Linked DNA regions of Oryzias latipes. The protein of the gene in region 1 purifies or fractionates together with the protein of each later gene. This does not show direct contact. Links are inferred from orthologs where the notes say so. Each region holds a gene or a part of one and is shown in the gene's direction. Other genes may lie near its edges. The genes, in order: caveolin-1, potassium voltage-gated channel subfamily A member 1-like, trpc1 and vcp.

Evidence for each region.
Region 2: the proteins of caveolin-1 (region 1) and potassium voltage-gated channel subfamily A member 1-like purify together in Homo sapiens (affinity purification with western blotting, with the first as the bait; 3 studies listed by BioGRID). This does not show direct contact. The link is inferred for Oryzias latipes from reciprocal best matches to the Homo sapiens genes CAV1 and KCNA5.
Region 3: the proteins of caveolin-1 (region 1) and trpc1 purify together in Homo sapiens (affinity purification with western blotting; 3 studies listed by BioGRID and IntAct, with this or other methods). This does not show direct contact. The link is inferred for Oryzias latipes from reciprocal best matches to the Homo sapiens genes CAV1 and TRPC1.
Region 4: the proteins of caveolin-1 (region 1) and vcp purify together in Homo sapiens (affinity purification with mass spectrometry; 5 studies listed by BioGRID and IntAct, with this or other methods). This does not show direct contact. The link is inferred for Oryzias latipes from reciprocal best matches to the Homo sapiens genes CAV1 and VCP.

Annotation. Positions count from the first base shown.
Region 1 is NC_019864.2:2,996,312-3,002,768, forward strand, and holds the start of caveolin-1, read left to right. Parts: upstream 1-2,848; 5' UTR 2,849-3,076; coding exon 3,077-3,112; intron 3,113-3,811; coding exon 3,812-3,979; intron 3,980-6,457. UniProt on the Homo sapiens protein: May act as a scaffolding protein within caveolar membranes. Forms a stable heterooligomeric complex with CAV2 that targets to lipid rafts and drives caveolae formation. Mediates the recruitment of CAVIN proteins (CAVIN1/2/3/4) to the caveolae.
Region 2 is NC_019881.2:23,510,721-23,517,089, forward strand, and holds the start of potassium voltage-gated channel subfamily A member 1-like, read left to right. Parts: upstream 1-2,520; 5' UTR 2,521-3,267; coding exon 3,268-5,379; 3' UTR 5,380-5,779; intron 5,780-6,369. UniProt on the Homo sapiens protein: Voltage-gated potassium channel that mediates transmembrane potassium transport in excitable membranes. Forms tetrameric potassium-selective channels through which potassium ions pass in accordance with their electrochemical gradient.
Region 3 is NC_019878.2:19,044,922-19,049,517, forward strand, and holds the end of trpc1 (short transient receptor potential channel 1), read left to right. Parts: intron 1-1,043; coding exon 1,044-1,228; intron 1,229-1,880; coding exon 1,881-2,082; intron 2,083-2,302; coding exon 2,303-2,497; intron 2,498-2,576; coding exon 2,577-2,804; 3' UTR 2,805-3,015; downstream 3,016-4,596. Other genes in the region: pcolce2 (procollagen C-endopeptidase enhancer 2), read right to left, coding at 4,447-4,577. UniProt on the Homo sapiens protein: Forms a receptor-activated non-selective calcium permeant cation channel. Forms a heteromeric ion channel with TRPC4 or TRPC5 that has reduced calcium permeability compared to the homomeric TRPC4 or TRPC5 channel.
Region 4 is NC_019867.2:13,582,059-13,587,064, forward strand, and holds the end of vcp (transitional endoplasmic reticulum ATPase), read left to right. Parts: intron 1-657; coding exon 658-770; intron 771-972; coding exon 973-1,137; intron 1,138-1,240; coding exon 1,241-1,363; intron 1,364-1,445; coding exon 1,446-1,658; intron 1,659-1,757; coding exon 1,758-2,066; intron 2,067-2,256; coding exon 2,257-2,412; intron 2,413-2,524; coding exon 2,525-2,679; intron 2,680-2,891; coding exon 2,892-2,997; 3' UTR 2,998-3,459; downstream 3,460-5,006. Other genes in the region: alcohol dehydrogenase [NADP(+)] A-like, read right to left, coding at 3,786-3,851, 4,205-4,364, 4,444-4,593, 4,679-4,728, 4,809-5,004. UniProt on the Homo sapiens protein: Necessary for the fragmentation of Golgi stacks during mitosis and for their reassembly after mitosis. Involved in the formation of the transitional endoplasmic reticulum (tER).

The DNA of each region.
Region 1 (6,457 bases):
TCATTTTCTTCTTTAACACCGCTTATTCTGTCACTTACCTGTAATTAAAATGACGTGGTATTTGACATTTCATTTTCAAAAAGTTATCTGTTGTAGCAAAATTCATTTAGAATTGTCTAATTTGACAATTAAAATGGGTTTAATAGAAATGCTTTTTCATTTTCAAAATGTAACTGAAACAAAAGACTCAAAATTAAAATGAAAATTTAATACTTCAAAATACTTTTTCATTTTCTACTTAAAACCGCTTATTCTGTGTCATAATTAAAATGAAAATGCAAAGAGGGGATTGCATTTTCATTTTAACATCCACCCTGTGAATAGTGTCGCAATATTCATTTCGAATAAGCATTTCCAGTGGGGAGGCGGGGCGATGACGTCAGTGTGTTCTCTGTGTGTGCGGCTGCTAACAGACACATGCTAGGAGCAGTGGAGCTTTGTGTTAGCGGCAGAGGAGAGGGCTGTGTGATGGTTGTGAACTCCTGATGATTGTAGACAGCTTCTCAGGACTACGTAGCAGCATTTCCCTGCACCCCCCCCCTCGGACCAGCAGCTGCCTTCGCATAGCGGAGCGCGAAACCCCGCTATCCGATCTCCCGTTCACCGAAGGCAGAAGTGCTGATATGATCTGAGAAACCATCATATGAATATGTGTTTCCAGTGGTGTCCAGAAAAAAATAAAGGATGATGTAATTCCCACATATTTACATCCAATATGCTCATTGCCCGCAAGGAGTTTTAAGTACCTCCACGGCTAATGTTTAAAGCACATATTAGCCTAATGCTAACTCGTCTTTCGGGTCCTCCAGCGAAGAAAAAAGCACTGACCGAACGGATTTAAAAAAATTGAGTGAGCAGGCCCTTAATAATAATCATAACAATAAAAGCACATTTAGAAGATAGATGGTTGGACCAACACACACTCAGCGTGAAGCTGAGTGTGTGTTGGTCCAACCAGCAAACGTTTAGCATGGTGAAATCTGCTATAGCTGTTGATGGGACTCCAGCTGTCATTGAACAGCAAAATCAGCGTGAAGCTGCAGGAGACTATCTTCTAAATGAGCTCCACTGCTCCTAGCATGTGTCTGTTAGCAGCCGGACACACGGATTTAGCACTGATGTCATCGCCCCGTCTCCCCTCTGGAAATGCTCTTTCGAAATGAATAATGCGACAATGTTTGCAGGGTGGATGCTAAAATGAAAATGCAATCCCCTCTTTGCATTTTCGTTTTTATTCTGACACAGAATAAGTTGTGTTGAAGATGGAAAGAAAAAACATTTTGGTGGATTGCTTTTTTATTTTCATTTTGAGTCAAAAATGCAGCTTCATTTTGAAAATGAAAAAGCATTTCTGGTTCTGACTTTTATTTTTAATTATTCTACAGAATCACTTCCATAAGTTTCTACAGAGCGGCATAAGTTCATTAAAAATTCAACTCTGAGCTGTGGGCTGGACTGTTGGTGTGGCGCATTTCTGCCTAATTTCCCGTCATCCATCCATGACACCCCCGACCTAACATCATCGATGCAACAAAAATGGTGAGCAATACTGGAGCTATCCATTCATACAGTTTAGATCCAGACTCCAGCTCAGACCAGGAAAACAAAGACGTACGTCTACAGGCTCAAAGGGTTGGAATGGGTACAATTGGATGCATCAGAATGGAGCAGAGCATGTTTGTGGCCCGCCCAACGTATTTTCTATGTAACAAATATGCTCTTTTTTTAAACTGCAATTTTTATTCTGTGTCCCTTATTCACAGTTATTTGAATTAAGAAATACTCAGTGATGCAATTTCAATATTAGTTTTATTTGTCCTCCATCATCAGAAAAATGCCACAAAACAACACCAAAAAATACACTGTTTATTGGAGTTGGTCTCTAAGTTCCACTCCATAGTGAGACTGTAGCATTGTTACAGGTATCAGGGCAAATTAACCCTTGTGCTATCTTAGATGACCCCACCCTTACATTGACCTGTTCTCCCTACCATGACAAAGGTGGATAAAGGTGGAAAGATTTCATGTAATCCATGGACACCAGTGAAGATCACAAATCATTGAAGAAAAAAGGTTCAGAGCACTGTCTAGTGGGTCTAGATGACCCAAATCCCAATGGTAACGTACCTAGGATAGCACATTAAAGGAGTAGACCTGCTGCGGCTGTTACCCTCATGGGCACTGACAGTAGAGTTTAGGGGTGGAGCAAAGGAATCCCAGTCACACAGAACAACCCAGCAGTAAGGCCCCAAGCCAAATTCTGCCACAGGTATCAATAATTATGCAGATATCAGTCTGCTTACAGAAGATAACATATTTTTTTAGAAACAGAAAAGATCATCTTAAAGGTACACTACAGCTACTTGTAATGAAATAAGTGCTCCGCATTTCACCCTGACTAATTATTGTGCACAAGAAGCCTATCAAAAAAGGGTAACACGTAGAAGAAAAAGACCATTCCATAAAATCCATACATTGCTTCTGTTCCACTGATGAGTGAGCTGCTGCCAAGAAGAGGTGAGAGGAAACTATCAGGGATGCCGGGTGCTTTACTTGAAGCTGACAAGAAAAGGAAAAGCATTGACACCTGCTCTCAAATGTTATTACTAATTCTGCATTTTCCCCCTCTTGATCTGTTTGCTTGTTTGTTTTCTTTTCTCTTGGAACAATCGATCGGTTTGGGACTCAGGTATGGCAGGTTTTCCCACTTCGACATTCAGTAATCCCATCTCACCCTCCTCCCTCTGAACAAGTGCCGTCTTATTCTGCCTTCATTCCTGAACGAAGCAGGGTTTTTTCCGTGCGTGTCACAGCAGCCCTTTGGTGTGAGATCACGTCCTTCTCTGCAGCCCAAGCGGCTGTTGTGCCGAGCGCGCACACGCAGGTGGCTGTGCAGACGCAGCGGAGCTTTCCCCTGCGCGCTCAGACTTTCCGCAGTTTTGTCTCACTCGGCGCCAAGGCAGCTCAGGGTTGATTTCATCATCAGGCGCGCGGTAGTCCGCGCTCACGCCTCCCACTTCGCTTCCCAGAGTGATCTGTGTTTGGACGGAGGACCCCATTTGCTCCTGAGGACAGAATGACAGGGGAGCGCACTGACGGAGACGCTGACGAGGTACAGTATGGCTCTCCCCTTTTAAATTAAATTATTTCCCCTTTTTGATATTTGCTTGTTGTTGTTTTATTCTGTTAAACTAGTTATTCTAGTATTTTTAGTTTCCTGCTGTGGCAAGCGCTGCGCTTTAGGAAAAAGCCAATTAACGCAACCAAATCCTGAGCTTTACGCGTCAGATTGCTCTGCTTCATCCAGGAAGAGACTTTAAAAGCGTTTAAAAGTTGGATTTTCAACCTCATTTTTCCACAAATGATCAAAATCATAAAAGCTTTGAGAGGATTCACTTTTACAACATATACTTGCATGTATGAATATTCATATTTTACAAATGTCACCTCTGGTAAAAAAAAAAAAAAAAAAAAAAAAAGATTAGTAGATGATATTCTGCTTGGATGGTGAGATGAAACACTGTTGCTTTTTCACAGAAAATGTTTTGAAGCGTTGCCATGCGTCCACATCCATGTGGAGCCAACTGTATGATAGGTCAGGACAGGAGCACTGTGTGGGTGGTGAGGACCCCTTGCGGCTGAGTGCAGGGGTGTGGTGCTGCGTGTTCAGTGCGCTTAAACCCATCCCTGTTCTCGAGGCAGGCCGGTGACTTGCACTGCAGTCTCGCTCCCTCTCGGCGCGCTGCGCACCACTCCGCCTCCACCACCTCCTCCTCTTCCTCACTTGTTTGCCTCCCTCGGATCTCCACAGGAGTTTCTGCAGTCGCCCTTCATCCGAAAGCAGGGGAACATATACAAGCCAAACAACAAAGACATGGACAACGACAGCGTAAACGAGAAGACGATGGATGATGTCCACACCAAAGAGATAGATCTAGTCAACCGGGACCCTAAACAAATAAACGACGACGTTGTCAAGGTGAGTCAGACCTGCTAATTTCGAACTTTTCAAGTTACTTTTAAAGTTGCAGCTGCAGAATCTTTCAAGACTTTTTGTGACAACAAAAAATAACAGTTGAGAGACTCCTGTGTCACAGACATTTCGGCCACTTTTTGCTTTTAAAGTCCAAGAATGTGATCAAAAACTGTCCAAGTGTTAAAATCTGGTTTGGTGTTTTCTGCGCCTGTGCGTCATCGTGCGCTCCCGGGGCTCAGACGCTGCTGCGCGCTGCCTCTCCAGAGCGGCCTCTTACTTTCTTTCCCCCTATTAGGAAGGAACTTTGCAGATGGAGTTGTGCTTTGCGCAGGCTGCACAGCCCATCTGCACGCACGGATTAAAAACGTGACCATCGGAACAAAGGAAACAGTACGAATTTCCTGTTTTTGGGACTCACGTTTCCCACAGTGGTTGCCTTGAAACCCTGAATTCTTTCCATAAGGGACATGCGCACAGAGGTTATGAGAGGGAGAGCTGGAAGCCACCTGAGGCGCTATGATACTGGAGGGGAGCGTCAGCTGTCTGTCACTCTCCACTCCAGCTGAGGCGGGCTTTCACATCAGAGCGGGGTCAAACAGCCCCCTGCATGAGAAGGATGGGTCAGGCCTCTGAAATGCCTGAACTGCGCTGTTAAAACAGGGAAACACCCAAGTAGCTGCTTAGTCAGAGGGGGATCCCTCACCACTCCCAGTGTTCTGATCTCCCCCCTTTCACCTGTCAGCATTCCAGCCAGAGGATTTAAATCTGAAGACATGTATGAATCGCTAAACCAACCGCCAAACTCATAAACAGTTCTTCCTCTCATGTTATTTCTGGAATTCCTCCACAAAATGATTCGATTTTATCAGATTCAGCTGATATTTCACTCCACGGGAACATTATCTGCAGTGTAACGTACAAATGTTGCCCCTTGGAAACACCCAGTCACTAGCATGAGACAAAGTGGGCACTAAATGCAGAAGTGAGTGAATTCAATAATGACCAACACATCCTTTCTTATTACACTGCACAGACTTGGCAAAGCGCTTAAGATTTCCTGTTTCTGTCTCTTCTTCACCGCTCTGCATCCTCCTGCTCTCAGTTGTGACGGTGAGTCAGACTCTCCCTGCGGTCAGGGCAGATTGAGGCTTTATGATCAAGTCAACTGACCGCCCTCAAAGTTAGTTTTCATCACATGGTCATGGACTGTAAACAAGAAACTTGTGTAATGAATTCCAGTTTCCATGATAACTTCTGAAAAGGTTTAAGCTATTCTTAAATCTGTGCTACGTTTAAGACCCACTCCATTGAAAATGGTGTTTTTGTTGTTTTTAACATGTTCTTGTGGTAATTTTCTGATGATGGAGGACTTATATAAAGAAAATGAAACTCAAAAACGCCATTTCTGAGTGTGTCTTTACTGAAATTGTTGTGATTCAGGAGCATAGAAAAAACTCTGAAAAAGATCGCATTGGTTGCATAGAAAATATGCTGGGTGTGCCACAAGCTCCCCGCTTTGCTCCATTCTGATGCATCCACTTGTAAACAGATCCATTAATGGTTTGTTTTTTCTGGTTTGAGCTGATATTTGGCTCAAAACTGCACGGCTGGATAGATGGCACAGATCAGAGTGGGTCTATAAGTAGAGCAGTCGTGTCTTTTCCGTTGATGGAAGCAGCTGGTTGGTATGAAAGAGCTAAATCCAGTCCGAACAGGGAATCCCTTCTGCGGTCATCCACTGTGTAATCAGCCACGCCGTCACACAGCTCCACACACATATGACAAGCAGCACACATCCTGAGTGCATGGATGCTTTGACTCATACATGTGAGAAAACCCACGGCTCTCTTGCAGCTGCAACCACAGCTGGCCTTAATCATCTGGCCACATGAAACAATGGATATTCCCTCTCAGAGCCTTTTTTATTCTTTCCCTTCCTTATGTTGTGGGCCTTTTTTATGTGCAGAGAGTGGAGGTCAAATGCCTGCACAGGACGTTTTTGAAGCTGCGTGGAGAAGCTTGAGTTCCAGCAGCAGACTCAGGTGTACCGAGGACAAACTAAAGAGGATGAACATCGTTTATTCATAGTGTTTGGTATAAACTTCACTTTTTAGCTTCAAACTTCCCTTTCCTTGGAGAATCATTCACATGGATGCCATTTAGTTTAACCCTTGTGCTATCCTAGGCACGTTAATATTGGGAGTTGGGTCATCATCTGGGGCGGCCGTGGTGCACAGTAGGGCGGTCGACCCATGAACATAAGATTGCAGGTTCGATTCCCGCCTTGCACGCCCATGTGTCGAAGTGTCCTTGGGCAAGACACTGAACCCCACCTTGCCTCTGGTGGGAGGTTGGTGCCAGTGTTTGGCAGCGGAGCCGCCATCAGTGGGTGAATGTGTGTGAATGTGTGTGTGCATGGGTGAATGGGACTGTGACTGTAAAGCGCTTTGGGCCTTCGTAAGAAGGTAGAAAGCGCTATAT
Region 2 (6,369 bases), on another chromosome or scaffold:
TGTAGTTCTGGTGGATCAGAGTGATGTGAACAACGCTCTAGAAAAAGGCCATCGTTGTGGCGATGAGCGGTAAAGTCCGTGTTTACTTACATGTATGAAAGTGGAAAGTGGAGCTGCAGCTGCAGAGCAGACGGTCATGGAAACGAAGCATCTCCTTCATCCTGTCATGCTGCCTCATCATCACACTTTATTGTTACTGGATAGAATTAGTGTTTTTATTTTCTTCATTATTTTTGAAGCACCATTCAGACTCCTGGAATGTTTCTAAGTACTGGGGAAGCAACATTATAGCTGGAAATAAACACTTTATTAACTTAATCATACTTTTACAACCTTATTGGTTAAGACCAATAAATTCATTAATTTTTTTATTCATACAGTGAAATATATTTTGTTGTGGAAATCAGACAATGTTGACTGTTCCATTTCTATATCTTAAGTAACCAAAATAAAAGTACTATGAATTTGCCGGGGTAAAAGCAGCTTCTATACAGTGGTGGACAAAATTGTTGGTACCCCTCAGTTAAAGAAAGAAAGTCCACAAAAAACAAACTAGTGAAATATGGCTGGACAAAAATGATGGTACGTCCATAAAAGACTGAACTAATAGCCCAGGGGGTCATGATGAACTCAGGTATGTCCTTTGATTGACATCACAGCTGTTTTCAAACCCACAATCAGTCTGTCTGCCTATTTAAAGGGAGACAAATAGTGAAAAGGTGTGAACCAGACTGAACATGGACAACAGAAAGCCATGGAGAGAATTGTCCCAGGACATTAGAAACACAATTATAGACAAACATGGTAAAGGTAAAGGCTATAAAACCATCTCTAAGCAGCTTGAAGTTCCTGTGAGCACAGTGGCACATATTATTCAGAAGTTTAAGACCCACGGGACAGTAGCCAACCTCCCTTGGCGATGGAAGAGGAACATTGATGACAAATTGAGGAGACGGATAGTTGGAACTGTCTCCAAAGAGCCCAGAACAACCTCCAAAGACATTAAAGGTGAACTCCTAGATCAAGGTACATCAGTGTCAGATCGCACCATTCGTGGTTGTTTGAGTGGACTTTGTGGGAGACGACCAAGGAGGACACCACTGTTGAAAGCAAACCATCAAAAAGCCAGACTAGAATTTGCAAAAATGCATGTAGACAAGCCACAAAGCTTCTGGGAAAATGTCCTTTGGACAGATGAGACCAAACTGGAGCTTTTTGGTAAGAAACATCAGCTCTATGTTGGTTGACTCAAAAATGAAGCATCCAACCAAAAGAACACTGTCCCTACTGTGAAACATGGAGGAGGCTCAGTTCTGTTTTGGGGCTGCTTTGCTGCATCTGCCACAGGATGTCTTGAAGTTGTGAAGGTCAAATGAGATCTCCAGATTATCAAGGCATTCTGGGTAGAAATGTGCTGCCTAGTGTCAGAAAGCTTGGTCTCAGTCGCAGGTCATGGGTCTTCCAACAGGACAACCATCCAAAACACACAGCCAGAAACCCCCAAGAATGGCTCAGAGAAAAGCGTTGGACTATTCTGAAGTGGATTCTATGAGCCCAGATCTGAATCCCATTGAACATCAGTGGAAGGAGCTGAAACATGCTATTTGGAGAACCGTCAAACCTGAGACAACTGGAGCAGTTTGCTCATGAGGAGGGGGCCAGAATACCTGTGGACAGGTGCAGAAGGCTCATTGACAAATACAGAAACCGTTTAGTTGCAGTGATTGTCTCAAAAGGTTGTGCAACAAAATATGAAGTTATGGTTACCATCATTTTTGTCCAGCCCTATTTCATTAGTTTGTTTTTTTTAAATAATTCTGTTCATCAAAAACTCAAAAGTAATGGTTGATTCTGATTTTTCAATTTTCAATACATATTAATTTATTGTTCCCTTTGAACCTTTCAAGTCATTTCAGTGAACATTGTGGACTTCCTTTCTTTAACTGAGGGGTACCAACTATTTTGTCCACCACTGTATGTGATACAGTTGCAGTGCTAAACATTGTAATCATTAAATAGACTGCATTAGATCGTATTATTACGATGAAAGACACATTAATATCCAGGTACAGTTTTTTAAGTCATACTCCTAAAAAAAAAAGTTTTCCAATAAAATATCTGGATACGTATCGTATCGCCGCTGTCCCCCTTCAGGGGTCGCCACAGAAAATCCGCTTTTACTGATTTACTCAGAGTTTGTAGCCGCTTTCAAGCGGTGGGGGTGTGGCCTTCTAAGAAGCTCCCTCCTGATTGGTGAGAGTGGTTGTCATAGAAACAATGACTCTGACCCATTTGGATCAAGAAAGTCAATTCAGTTGCCATTTTTGTCTGAATCACGTCCGTGTCGTGCAGAAATGGTGACTGAATCGACCCCCTCTGGTTGGAGCTGGTTGGAGCTTCATGGATGACGTCACTTAGTCCAGAACGGCGTAGGCCGAGCAGAACTGCAAACGTTTGGAGTTTCTGGAGCATTGTCATGGGACGAGTCTCTGCTCGTTTGGTCCACAAAAACCACAGGAATTCTGGAGGAATGTGACGTCATGAGCTTGGAGGTGGAAACGCCGCCAGCTCCAAGCTGAGGAGCATCAGTGACGACTGGAAACTTTCAGCGTTCATCATCTGAAACCTCAACTTGATTGTTTGTTTGTTTTTTTCATCACCAAAAGCTGACAGTTTGTTTCCAGCGGTGTGTGATGGCTCGATGACGTCACAGAAGCACGAGGAGAGTCGTGTTTCCTTCAGGGTCTTTGACCAGCGCGGCTGAAAGGAACAAAGAAGATCCTGGAGAAAAGGCTCCTTCAAAGGACAGAGTGCCGCCCGGGGGCCGCCCCCCCCCCCCCCACAGGAGAGGACTCGGACACAAAGGCAGAGAAGGCGAGGAGCTGGTCACGTGGGAGGACGGCTTTGGGAGAGACAAGGAGAGAGGGGGGGGGGGGGCATTCTTTGAAAAGGACATTCAAAGCGTGAAGAAGAGCTGGAGTCCAGAGTCTTCATCAATCTCCCACATAATCCCCGCCCACAAATCAGAGACTCCTGCCGCTCTGCAGAAACTATGTCCTAGAAAACAGAACTAAAACGTCAGAGGATGAAAAGGGAACTGGGAACGCTCTGAAAACAGATCAGAGGACTCGACCTCTGAGACCGGTGGGTGTGAAGGGTTCCCTGGAGAACCCAGAGAACATATTGGTTCCGCATGGAGATATTTGCACAAATGTTCCTTAGAAGAGTTCACGTCCCTGTGTTTTTGGAGGGGGGGGGTGTCTCTGAATGCTGACTGACAGCACAGAAATGCAACCGCCGTGCGCGCGCTTTGTGCCACAAACGGAGCGCGTCTCCGCTGCTGGAGAGAGGGAGGGAGCGCATCTCTCTCTCCTCTCAGACGTGTTTCGGTTTTCCGCGGCGGCTGAGCGCGCGAGCCTCACTCCTGACGTCAGGAGTGATCATCGCGGCTGCTCTCTAATCCGGGTCTGCGTCTCTTCCCGCGGTCTGGATGTTGACATCTCTCCCAGCTGCGGCGCTCCGGAGCGGCGGCGTTCCACGCATGCCCCCGCGCGCGGAGCAGCCGTGATCCAGAGCTCAGCTCCGCGCGCACAGCCCCCCCCCCCCCCCCCCCCCCTGTATCCGGACTCAAACCTGCGGGATGTTCGGGCTCCACGCGCCCCCTCAGCTTCTGCTTCAGTGACCGTGGATGGCAGCGGCATGGAGATCGCCTTGGTGAGCTTTGAAAACGGCGGCGCCAAAGGCGGCGGCGGGAATGCCGAGGAGAACTGCCGGCACGCGCTGGAGGTCCCTCAACCGGGCTTCGTCCAAACGGCGCTGGGAGAGGAGCGCGGGAAGGAGCTGAACACCCGCGGGAGCCCCCGGCAGCAGCTGAGCCCCTGGAAGATCAACGACATGAACACCACGCTGAGCTGCAGCGAGAACGCCATGGATGCGCTTTTACGCGCGGACCACAGCCCCCACCTGTTCGACGAGGACCTGCTGGACATGGACGTGGACGCGGAGAGCAACGAGCGGGTGCTCATCAACATCGCCGGGCTGAGGTACGAAACCCAGCTGGGCACTCTGAACCAGTTCCCGGAAACGCTGCTGGGAGACCCGGCCAAGAGGATCAAGTACTTCGACCCGCTCCGGAACGAGTACTTCTTCGACCGGAACCGGCCCAGTTTCGACGGGATTCTGTACTTTTATCAGTCCGGGGGGAAGATCCGCAGACCCGTCAACGTGTCCATCGACGTGTTCGCCGACGAGATCCGGTTCTACCAGCTGGGAGAAGAGGCCATGGAGCGGTTCCGCGAGGACGAGGGCTTCATCAAGGAGGAGGAGAAGCCGCTGCCCCAGAACGAGTTCCAGAAGCAGGTCTGGCTCATCTTCGAGTACCCGGAGAGTTCGAGTCCGGCGCGGGGCATCGCCATCGTGTCCGTGATCGTCATCACCATTTCCATCATCACCTTCTGCCTGGAGACGCTGCCGGAGTTCCGGGACGAGCGCGAGCTGGCCGTGAGCGTCCGGCCGGACAACGGCACGGCGCCGCGGCCCTCCCTCACCTTCTCGGACCCGTTCTTCATCGTCGAGACCACCTGCGTCATCTGGTTCACCTTCGAGCTGTTCGTGCGCTTCTTCGCGTGTCCCAGCAAGTCGGAGTTCTCCAAGACCATCATGAACATCATCGACATCATGTCCATCATGCCTTACTTCATCACGGTGGGCACGGAGCTGGCGGAGCAGCAGGGCCAGGAGCACCAGAACGGCCAGCAGGCCATGTCTCTGGCCATCCTGAGGGTCATCCGCCTGGTCCGGGTCTTCCGGATCTTCAAGCTGTCCCGCCACTCCAAGGGGCTGCAGATCCTGGGCCAGACTCTGAAAGCCAGCATGCGCGAACTGGGGCTGCTCATCTTCTTCCTCTTCATCGGAGTCATCCTCTTCTCCAGCGCCGTGTACTTCGCCGAGGCGGACGAGCCCGAGTCCCACTTCTCCAGCATCCCCGACGCCTTCTGGTGGGCCGTGGTTACCATGACGACGGTGGGCTACGGGGACATGCGGCCGGTGACGGTCGGGGGGAAGATCGTGGGCTCGCTGTGCGCCATCGCGGGGGTTCTGACCATCGCGCTGCCGGTTCCGGTCATCGTGTCCAACTTCAACTACTTCTACCACCGCGAGACCGACCAGGACCAGTCCTCCCTGAAGGACGAGCCCGCAAGCGGCCGCGCCAGCCCCGAGCCGCGGCGCCGGGGCAGCCGGGCCTCCGCCAAGTCCCAGGACGCGGAGAAGAACGAGGGGGGCGACGGGGGGGAGAAGAACATGAAGGCGAACAGCAGCGTGGACTTCAAGAAGTCCCTGTACGCCTTCTGCCTGGACACGCGCGAGACAGACCTGTAGACCCGGACCCGCCCGAGCCCGCAGAACCGCCCCCCAGCCTCACCCCCCTCCCCCGGGCTGCACAGGCTCAAAGGTCTCAACCCTCAACCTCAACTGTCCGCGCGTGCTCGATTAAGGAAAAAACTTGCGCGTGAGCTAGTGGGAAACGGGAGTGAGGCGCGCGCGCAGCCGTCAGGATATGGGATCATTTCTGGACACGCAGAGGATTAACGGAATCTGAACATGAACCTCGAGTGGGTCTCACGCTCACGCGCACAGACTTCAGACGAAAACAGAGGATCTTTTTTCACGGATTTTCCTTTTCCTGTTTGAAACTTTCAAATCGAACTTTTCTGACAAACTGAGTGGAAGTACGACAGGAGCGGGGAGCACGTGCACGGAGGAGGCGCGCACACATCAGGTCAGTGTCAAGCGTGCGCGCATGTTTATGGCAGCTGAGAGCTGCGTTCTCAGCTTCAGACTCGGTTCAAGTCGGACTCGTCCGGAACAAGTCCGACCTGATCTACGTCACAACCTCCTGAAACAGAAAAACGATCATTTTAAAAAGACACATTTCAGTCACATTCTTGGTGGGAAAAACGTTTTTCCTTCACTTATTTATGAAAGTTTTCTATGATCCAAACGTTAAATTGATCTTTTCTCTTTTTAGTCTTTTTATTTTTTAAATGTTCAAATAGTTGAAAACAAATTTTTACTAAAGCTATTCATGTTTTATTTGAGGAATAAAAATGATTACAGTTCGATCTATTTTCAATATTTTGTCTGATTTCTGCTCATTGATGCAAATGAAGGAGCAGTTATTCCTTTATGGACATGTATGTACATCATTTTTAAATGAAAGAAAAACATTTTTGACTCAAAACTTTACTTCCATCAATCACTTTTCTAGACAGGAAATCATGTTTTTTCATGTTCTTTAAAGAATTTGAGTTGATTTTGCAGCAAAACTTGTCCTCATGAAGGGATCCCTGATTTCTGATGACGGCGCCA
Region 3 (4,596 bases), on another chromosome or scaffold:
AAACTGGAATGGGCTCAGATAGATGTGGTTGTGTGTTCATTCACACTCACGTGGCAGACACGCCGCCCCAGAAAGGCACCTACACACTCTATGGTGAAGGATTTCGTCCAGTTCTGCTCGGTAAAGCTAACGCACACAGAATGAGTCATGAATATGGGGGTTGCAGACTTCCCTGAATGTGTCTTTCCTGAAAGGGCCGGCTCATGTGTCTGTGGGGTCGGGACCCCTGCTCAGTTTGGAAAGAGTGGTGGAAAGTGTGAATCCGCTCATTCGTGGCCCAGACTTAACCTCAGCAACAGCCTGAGTCCACCGTCACTAACGGTGCAAGAGTTTGTCAGAAAATATGTCATTTATTACACCTTAAAGTTCAGATAACGTTTTTGGTATTTACTCTTGTCCAGTATGCTACATCTCTTTCTTTTGCAAAGATGTAGGGTTAACTTTTTTGGGCTGCTCCAAATGCATTTTTCATAGCATAAACTCAGTAAATCCCCCTTTAGTCCGCATTGCGTTCTGTTTGTACAGTAATTAACTAAGGCTATCTGTCAGGGTTGGCAAGCATGGAACAACCTCAGCTAGCTATTTACCAGCGGTAAAGGAGTACACTGAAGGGATTTACTCTGTTTGGAATCATCCTAACAGGCCGATCCTTCTTAAACAAGCTGCCTTGGTTTCAGTGCAAACATGCCAGTTGTCCTTCGCCCTGAGGTGCGGGCAGAGCAGCTGCACTAGACACTGTCTGTTTATGTTTTGTAAGGGCAGGCTTCGTGTTCGAGCATTTGTTTGCTCAGATCTATAAAAAGTGTTTTTTTCTTAATAGTCCATAAGGCTTTTTCAAGAAAACTTCTTAACTTTAGGTCTAATGCAGCCAGAATATGTTGGGGGTTTTTCCACTTTGCTGTGAGAGAAACAATGCTGAGGTAGCTTGAATGTAGAAATAATCTACAATCGGTAAAAACAGGACACTACTGTAAATTACTACTGTAAATACTTCTATAAAGGTTCAGTGGGCAAATGTCAGATTCTTTGTCAATGCCTTACAGATCTCCATGGGTCAGATGCTGCAGGATTTTGGAAAGTTTCTGGGCCTTTTCCTGCTGGTCCTATTCTCCTTCACCATTGGACTCACTCAGCTGTACGGAAAAGACCTAAAAGACCCACAAAAGAAAACAACCAAGGACTGCGAAGGCATCTTCTGCCAGCAACAGAGCAACGACGCATTCCACACGTATGATCAAACCTTTCTGCATCAGTGGTCAATGTCCAGAATGTTTCTTAACTGATGACAGACATGTTTCTTGTTTTTACTCCTAATCTGTATCAAAATTCAAATTTAAACACAATTAAAGTGTGTTTTAAAAAGAAACAGGAATAAAGCAAACATATGAAAAAAATACAGTTTAGCAGAGTATTGTCTTTTTTGAGAAACTAAAAATGTATTACAACCTGTAGAGAACAGATGTGTTGCACAAATGAATACAGTGACTATTTAAATGTCTTTAAACATATGGAAAATGCTCTGAAGGATGCGTTCTTTTTGTTGATGTTTACATTTAGGCAGAACATTTTTATCATCACTTATGTTTAGATGAAATGTTTTCTGTAAAGGAAGTGGAGGAAAGCTAGGAGGAGTTTCAGCAGCCTCTGCAGTGAATGCCTACCCTGCAAACAAAGCTAATATTCTTCTAAAAAACTGCACATTACTGCAGGATTGCAGCTGCTCGTTTATTAATTAAGCTTAGGGGAGTACCTGCAGCAATTTTTCTGTTGGATTGGAGGAAATCTATTTTGCTTTGAAAACCCCTTCTTTTTTATAAAACCAGAATTCTACTTTTTTTTGTGTGTGTGTTCACCAAAACCCTCGTTTACCTGTTTTCCAGGTTTATGGGGACCTGCTACGCCCTCTTCTGGTACATCTTCTCGCTGGCCCACGTTGCCCTCTTCGTCACCCGAATCAGCTACACAGAGGAGCTGAGGTCTTTTGTTGGTGCCTTGATCATAGGCACCTACAACATCGTGGTGGTTATTGTACTCACCAAGCTGCTGGTGGCCATGCTCCATAAGAGCTTCAGACAAATTGCTGTAAGTCTGCACGGATCACTAGTCTGACGTTTCTCTTCATGAGTAATTAAAGCCGAGTTCAGAGCAGGAACTGGTGGAGTTTTTTTTTGTTCCAAGTGTTCCTGAAATGTTGCACAGCTGCTAAAGCTTTTCTTTGACGTTAAAGAACTGCTGGAAATTAGATTTAAATAAAGATTACTTTTTGTTGCCACATTTCTTGACTTTTTGGTGCTTTTTGTAGAATCACGAGGACAAGGAGTGGAAGTTTGCTCGAGCTAAACTCTGGCTGAGCTACTTTGATGACAAGTGTACTATGCCTCCACCTTTCAACATCCTCCCTTCACCAAAGACTGTCTGCTACCTGGTGACCAGTTTGAGGAAGTGGATCTGCTCTCACACTCCAAAGGGCAAAATGAAGAGACAGAATAGCCTCAAAGTGAGAAAAATAAGATCCCCGGTCTTTTCTGCTTTCTGTCTTTTATGTGACCTACCTCCTTCCTGTTGTTTACCTCCAGGAGTGGAAGAACCTGAAGCAAAAGCGGGATGAGAACTACCAGAAGATCATGTGCTGCCTGGTTCACCGATACCTGACCTCCACAAGGCAGAAGATGCAGAGCACAGACCAGGCCACAGTGGAGAACCTGAACGACCTGCGCCAAGATTTGTCCAAATTTCGCAATGAGATGAGAGACCTGCTGGGCTTCAGGACCTCCAAGTATGCCATGTTCTATCCACGGAGCTAAAACCACAACATTTATTCGCTTCTCCCTCTCCTACCTTCATTTCGTGTTAATCTGGGATGTCAACATGTGCAGTTGCATAGGGAACTTCACTATATCAAACTTTAGAAAACTTTTAATCAGCAACCAAAGCCCCCAAAGTCAGACCTTTGTCTTTTTTGTAAATATATAAAGCCATTGTTTTCAACGGAATGAATAAAAATTTATGGAAATACTTGATCTTCTTTTAGTTTAATTGGTTAAAAACCTGGGAAGAATGTTCCAGGTCACGTCACCCTTAGCAAAAAGTTATTCACGTGAGGTTTATTCCATGAAATATAAGGACAGCATGGTATAGACCAGAAGTCTGCAACAGTCAGAGCCTCATGATTCTTTCCCCCTCCATTATGGCTCTCTAGTTTAAGACAAATAAAAAGTAACTGTAAAGTAATAAGTAGAAAGTAAAATAAGTAAAGTTAACTAACTCAAACTTTATTCACAAAAAGTTGAAAAACAATGTGTGATACTCCACCAGGCTACCGACTACATTACACATAATGCTCCAATCCATCAAGTGGTTCAACATATTGAACAAATTCAATGATTTTGAGTGATCCTTGTGGTTAAAAAAATACATTGTCACTAAATTAGAACTGATTTAATTTTGTGGCTACTACTGTGTTGTGGTCAATGAGAAATCAACCCGAATGGCTCTTTAAGTGTTAAAGGTTACAGACCCCTGGTGTAGAGCATGTACATGTGGTGTAGGAAGTATATTAATAACTGAATACTTCCTCAGACTTAATGTTTTGACATTTTAAATTTACAATATATAGAAAAAGCAATTATACTGCCTCACTTTTAATACAGAATAAGTATACTTGTAGTACACTTAAATAGACTGCTTTTCGCTAAGGGCAACCATGAAGAATCCCATTTATTCAAAGCAATTTCCACTTCTGGATGAACATAGTTAAACAGTGACACAAACAGGAAAATGTTCAAAGAATTTAATTCTGTCCAAGAAAAACAAATATAAATAATATATATAACCTTTTTTATATGAAAATATGTTTTTCCTTTAAAACAAGTGTGTTGTTCATTTTTGCAACCATTGAAGAAATAAATGTTTACATAAAATCTGAGAAATGATTTAAAGAAAAACAGGAAATATTGCACTGTAATCACCACATTTTAGACTTCCAACCCGGCCCATTGAAAAATGAACACTGGATTTCAACAGCAGGTTTTACTCCATTCAACAACTGCAATAATCTCAAATGGATTTTAATCTGATGTGTTAATCTGGGGACAGACATCATGCTTAGCATTACTCTTTAAATTAAAACAATTAAAAAAAAGTAAAATCATAATATTGAGTTGTTTTTCCTTCTGCTTACACTGTGAAAAATGTAGAAAAAAATGGATTTTTAAACAAACATTTCATCTGAATAGTCCCAGATTATTAGTAAATTGAAAACAAAAACTCTTTTAAAGAGAAGAAATGGTGCGTGTCTGTAGCAGCTCCACACACAGACTTGGTTTTGTTTATCCTGGCTTGTGTTTGTGCTGCTGAGACGGGGATTTGTTTTCCGCCGGATTGTTTCCATTTCCAGCTGCGCTCCGGGCAGACCACCTCGGAGGGGATCCTCACAGCTACAGGAGCTCAGCACTGCTTGTTTTTCAGGACATTGAGTCCTTTCTGGTTCTTTGTCTTGAAAGCCATAACAAAGTGCTGGGGGGCAATTTTCCCGCGGCCCTCCTCGTCAACCTGGCCCATGAAGATGTAGTTTAAGCCTGGTGAGGTCACACAAAA
Region 4 (5,006 bases), on another chromosome or scaffold:
TTATATACCGCAAATTATATCGTTATCGCAATATTAATCACTGATATCGCATATCGCGAGTTTTCTTCATATCGTGCAGCCCTAATGTTGACTTAAAATGATCCTGTGCAGTTAAGACTTTTGAACATCAGACCTACTTTCAACCATAGAATTTAAGTTGCACTCTATTCCTAAATGTTTGGGTTTTTTTAAGTTTCATTTTAATAAGAAACTTTTTCTTGTTAATGAAACAAATTGTTTTTCCAAACCAGGTTTTCTTAAGAAATCCTGTGGCTTGTTCATTTTGTTTGAAAATGCATTGCAAGTTAAGCTGCTAACATGTTGAAACAAAATTTCTTGCTGGCACTTTAGAAACTATTGTCATCCCAGTAAGGATGAAAAAGTCTATTTCAATTCAAATAAATATATTTTGATTCAATTCAAATTTATAAATTTTCAATTAAATAACTTTTCATATTCTGATTTAAAGAAAAAAAAGAGAATTCCAATTTTTAAAATGGAGGTCAATGTTTTGCCTGGTAAAGAAATTCAACAAATTTAATGAATTAAGTTAGAAGTTTTTAAGTTGATGATCTTATAAATTTTAGGTTTTTAGATAGATGGTAAACTTCTTCATTTTCATTGATCCAATTTTATTTTCACACCTTTCCATTGTAGGCCGTTTTGACAGAGAAGTGGATATTGGCATCCCTGATGCAACCGGCAGATTGGAGATTCTGCAGATTCACACCAAGAACATGAAACTGGCTGATGATGTGGACTTGGAACAGGTTTGTGCCTTCAAAAGTCCTTTATTTTTGTCCAAAATACAACATGTTCAAGTAGATGCCTTTTTCTTGATAAATGATAAATTTCTTTTTTCTATTAGTTTGTGAATATTTTAAGTTAAAATGTAATTAATCATTATCGCAGGTTTTTTTTACATAGTGGTGTAACTTTGGTTTCTACAGTGAATTTGATTGTCTTTTGCAGGTTGCCAATGAGACCCATGGTCATGTAGGTGCAGATCTGGCTGCTCTCTGCTCTGAGGCTGCTCTCCAGGCCATTAGAAAGAAGATGGACCTGATCGACCTTGAGGACGAGACCATCGATGCTGAAGTCATGAACTCACTTGCTGTTACCATGGATGACTTCAAGGTAAACCTGTAATGGAATCGTTTGAAATCATATAGTAGTCCATTAGTACACACAGCTAGCACTGGGCTGGATCAATGCTAACCCGATCAGTGCTGTCTTGCAGTGGGCTCTGAGCCAGAGTAACCCATCAGCACTGAGGGAGACGATTGTTGAAGTTCCCAACATCACCTGGGATGATATTGGAGGTCTGGAAGATGTTAAGAGAGAGCTGCAGGAGTTGGTCCAGGTATGTGTAACATCATATGAAAGTGCCGGGATTGAAATGTCTGGGACTGTGGTAAATGTGCATCCTCCTTCCCTTAATTCAGTACCCAGTGGAGCATCCAGACAAGTTCCTGAAGTTTGGCATGACCCCTTCCAAAGGTGTACTTTTCTATGGTCCCCCTGGTTGTGGTAAGACTCTGCTGGCCAAAGCAATTGCCAACGAATGCCAGGCAAACTTCATCTCCATCAAAGGACCTGAGCTGCTCACCATGTGGTTTGGAGAGTCTGAGGCCAACGTCAGGGAGATATTTGACAAGGTAAGCGACCCCCCCCCCCCCTTTTTTTTTTTTTTTAAAGAATTCATACATAAAGTTGTAAAACGAAATAAACCTGTTTGGTTTTTGTCTTGTCTCCAGGCTCGTCAGGCTGCTCCATGTGTTCTCTTCTTTGACGAGCTTGACTCCATAGCTAAGGCTCGTGGCGGCAACGTTGGTGATGGCGGTGGAGCAGCTGACCGCGTGATCAACCAGATCCTGACGGAAATGGATGGAATGTCGAGCAAGAAGAATGTCTTCATCATCGGAGCCACAAACAGACCAGACATCATTGACCCTGCCATTCTGAGACCCGGCCGCCTCGATCAGCTCATCTACATCCCCTTGCCCGATGAGAAGAGCAGGATCAGCATCCTGAAGGCCAACCTCCGCAAGAGTCCCATCAGCAAGGTGACAGTTGTTCCTCCCACCACCAGGATGTATGAAGCTTTATCTGTGTAACAAAAGTTGTGTAGATTTTTCTGAAGGTCCACCAACTGTGGCATTTGTTTTCAAATCCAATGTAAAAGCAACTTTGGTATTATTGCACAAATGTTCTCTCCACTTGGAAAAAATAAACTAATAGTTTTACAAAATTTAGGATGTGGACTTGGACTTCCTGGCTAAGATGACCAACGGCTTCTCTGGAGCAGATCTTACCGAGATCTGCCAGCGGGCGTGCAAACTGGCCATCAGAGAGAGCATTGAGAGTGAGATCCGCAGAGAGAGGGAAAGGCAGACCAACCCATCTGCTATGGTCAGGACTGTTCAAATGCTGCTTATCCTGGAATGAACATCTGCACTGCTTGGGATTCTTTGTGGACCTAACCATTTCCATCCTGTTTTTTTGTGCCGTCATGCCCTCACAGGAAGTTGAAGAGGACGATCCTGTTCCAGAAATCAGGAAAGACCACTTTGAAGAAGCAATGAGATTTGCTCGCCGTTCTGTCAGTGACAATGATATTCGCAAATATGAGATGTTTGCTCAGACACTGCAGCAGAGCCGTGGATTTGGAAGCTTCAGGTCTGTAGCTGTGAAATTGGAATGTTTTTCCAATGTGGAAGATGCTGAAGTACTTCTAATGAGCAAATAAGTCAACAGCAGCCAAAGCTGCATTTTGTTTAGGGGGGCATCCTAATACGACAATGGCCTCAGAAGGATTGTATTATCTGTTTACAATATTAGAAAATTGTTGGGTTTCACAAAAGTAGGTAATAAGTTTTCTTGCCTTTCAGGTTTCCCTCTAGTACTCCTGGAGGAAGTGGTCCAAGTCATGGTGCAGGCGGAGCGGGAACTGGTCCGGTGTTCAATGAAGATAATGATGATGATCTTTACGGATAAAAGCAGACTGCCCCTCAGTGGCCAGTACTGGGATCACACCTGTACAAATTCTCACCAGATTCCACATTTTTAGGACTTTGTGCTTCTTTCATGTTTTTTTTTTTTTTTATTCTCCCCCCCCCCATATTGAGAAAGCATGTAGCTTATTGGCTTACCCTGACTTCATTCTGAGTTGGGGATTTTGGAAATATAAGGTGAGTCAGACGCAGAGTTTCTTCTCAGTGGGGTGGCTGGGTGACTGGGTTTCTTTTTTTTTTCTTTTTTTTTTTTTTGAGTGGCCTCATTCTCTGTATTTCTCAACACAAATGGCTATGCTGATTGGAATATGTGCGAGACTTGGAAAGACAAAAAAAACACATTGCTGATATTTCTCCTTTCTTTTTTAAAATAAACAGTAGCATATAATGTATTACAGATTTGTCAAGGTTATGTTGTTGAAAATAAAATCTGAAGAAATTGAAATATTTTGTTTTTTGTGTTTCCTCTTTAAGGGCAAAGATTCCTTATGGCATCTAACCCCCTAATTATTTTTATTTAAACCCACATCTTTGCATGCAAACTGTACACAATCCTAGCTAATGATGCAAAAGATGGGTGTTGGCAAGAGTTTTTATTTTTTCCACTTAACTACAGAAGGTCTCGTTTAAGCTTCAGTGTTTTAATGCTGCTAAAGGAAAAAATGAAAATGTATTGACTGGAAAGCAGTTCTGTCAGTCAACAGTGTCACTCCTAAAGTGTGTCCTTGTTGGCATTTATTCCCAACAAGTTAGTTGGTCTTGAGTGTAGACTCAGTAGGCGTCGTGGAAAGGGAAATGTGGATGTTCTGCATCTCTCCACACTGTCTTGCCATCCTTCTGTAAAAGAGTTGGAAATGTTTTGGTCAGAAAATGCAAATTGCAAGAAAAAACAATTCATTTAAAAAATGGTATACATGGTTTACACTTTTTTTGGGTATCTGTTTTTTTTCTTTCTTTCTAGAATTCCCAATAACTTCATGATCTGAACTAACATTTCTCCATACATCCTAAATTTCTAACCAGGCCCTTAGTAAATTCACAGCCTGAGCTTTTTTGCCTACAGTAATTGGAGCTTTACCCAATAGAGTTGTGGTGCAATACTTCATTTGACCATTAAGTGACTTGAATTCCCCCCCCCCCCCCCATTAAGAGTGGGGGAGAGCACATAGGTTCATACATTGAGTTCTCACCACTGCTGTCGGAACGATGAAACGCCTCTTGCAGCTGAAAGAATTGATCAGCTTCATGTCCTCTTGCGACAAGTTGAAATCAAACACGTTCAGGTTCTGCTGGATTCTGGAGAGCGTAACACTTTTGGGGATGCATGCCACGCCCCTCTGAATGTGCCACCTAAGGTGTGAGATGATTACGTTTTAGTTTTCTGTTGGATCTGAAGGCGTATGTGAGTTGTAAAGATGGTTGGTCATACCTGAGGATCACCTGAGCAGGTGATTTCTGGTATCTTTGAGCGATTACCCCCAGTTTAGGATCCTCCAGTAGACTGGGTTCATCTGGAGATGCCCAGGGTCTGTCTCCACTCCCCAGAGGACTGTAGGCCGTCACACAAATTGCCAAAGACCTGAAAACAGAAGAAAAGAGTGCGGTTTATGAAGAGTTTTGAATAGTCTTAGAAGAAAAGTTAAGATCTTCTGTGTCTCACTTACTGACAGTGTGACAGAAGGTCTGCTTGAGACAGATAAGGGTGGCATTCTACCTGTAATGTAAGACTTTAATTCTCAGGTTCTCATTTTGTAATGAATTGTAATTTAATTAAAGATGTAGAAATAGTTCAACCTGGTTCACCACAGGTTTGTGTTTTGCTACACGGATGATTTCCTCCATTTGCCTAGCATTGAAGTTGGACAATCCTATAGCCTTCACAAGACCTTTATCCACCAGGTTCTCCATGGCTTTCCAAGTATCTCTGTAGTGCGTGTTAGAGTAGCAGATGGTTCCATCGTTTCTTCGGGGCATCAGCTCTTTCCCTTTCCT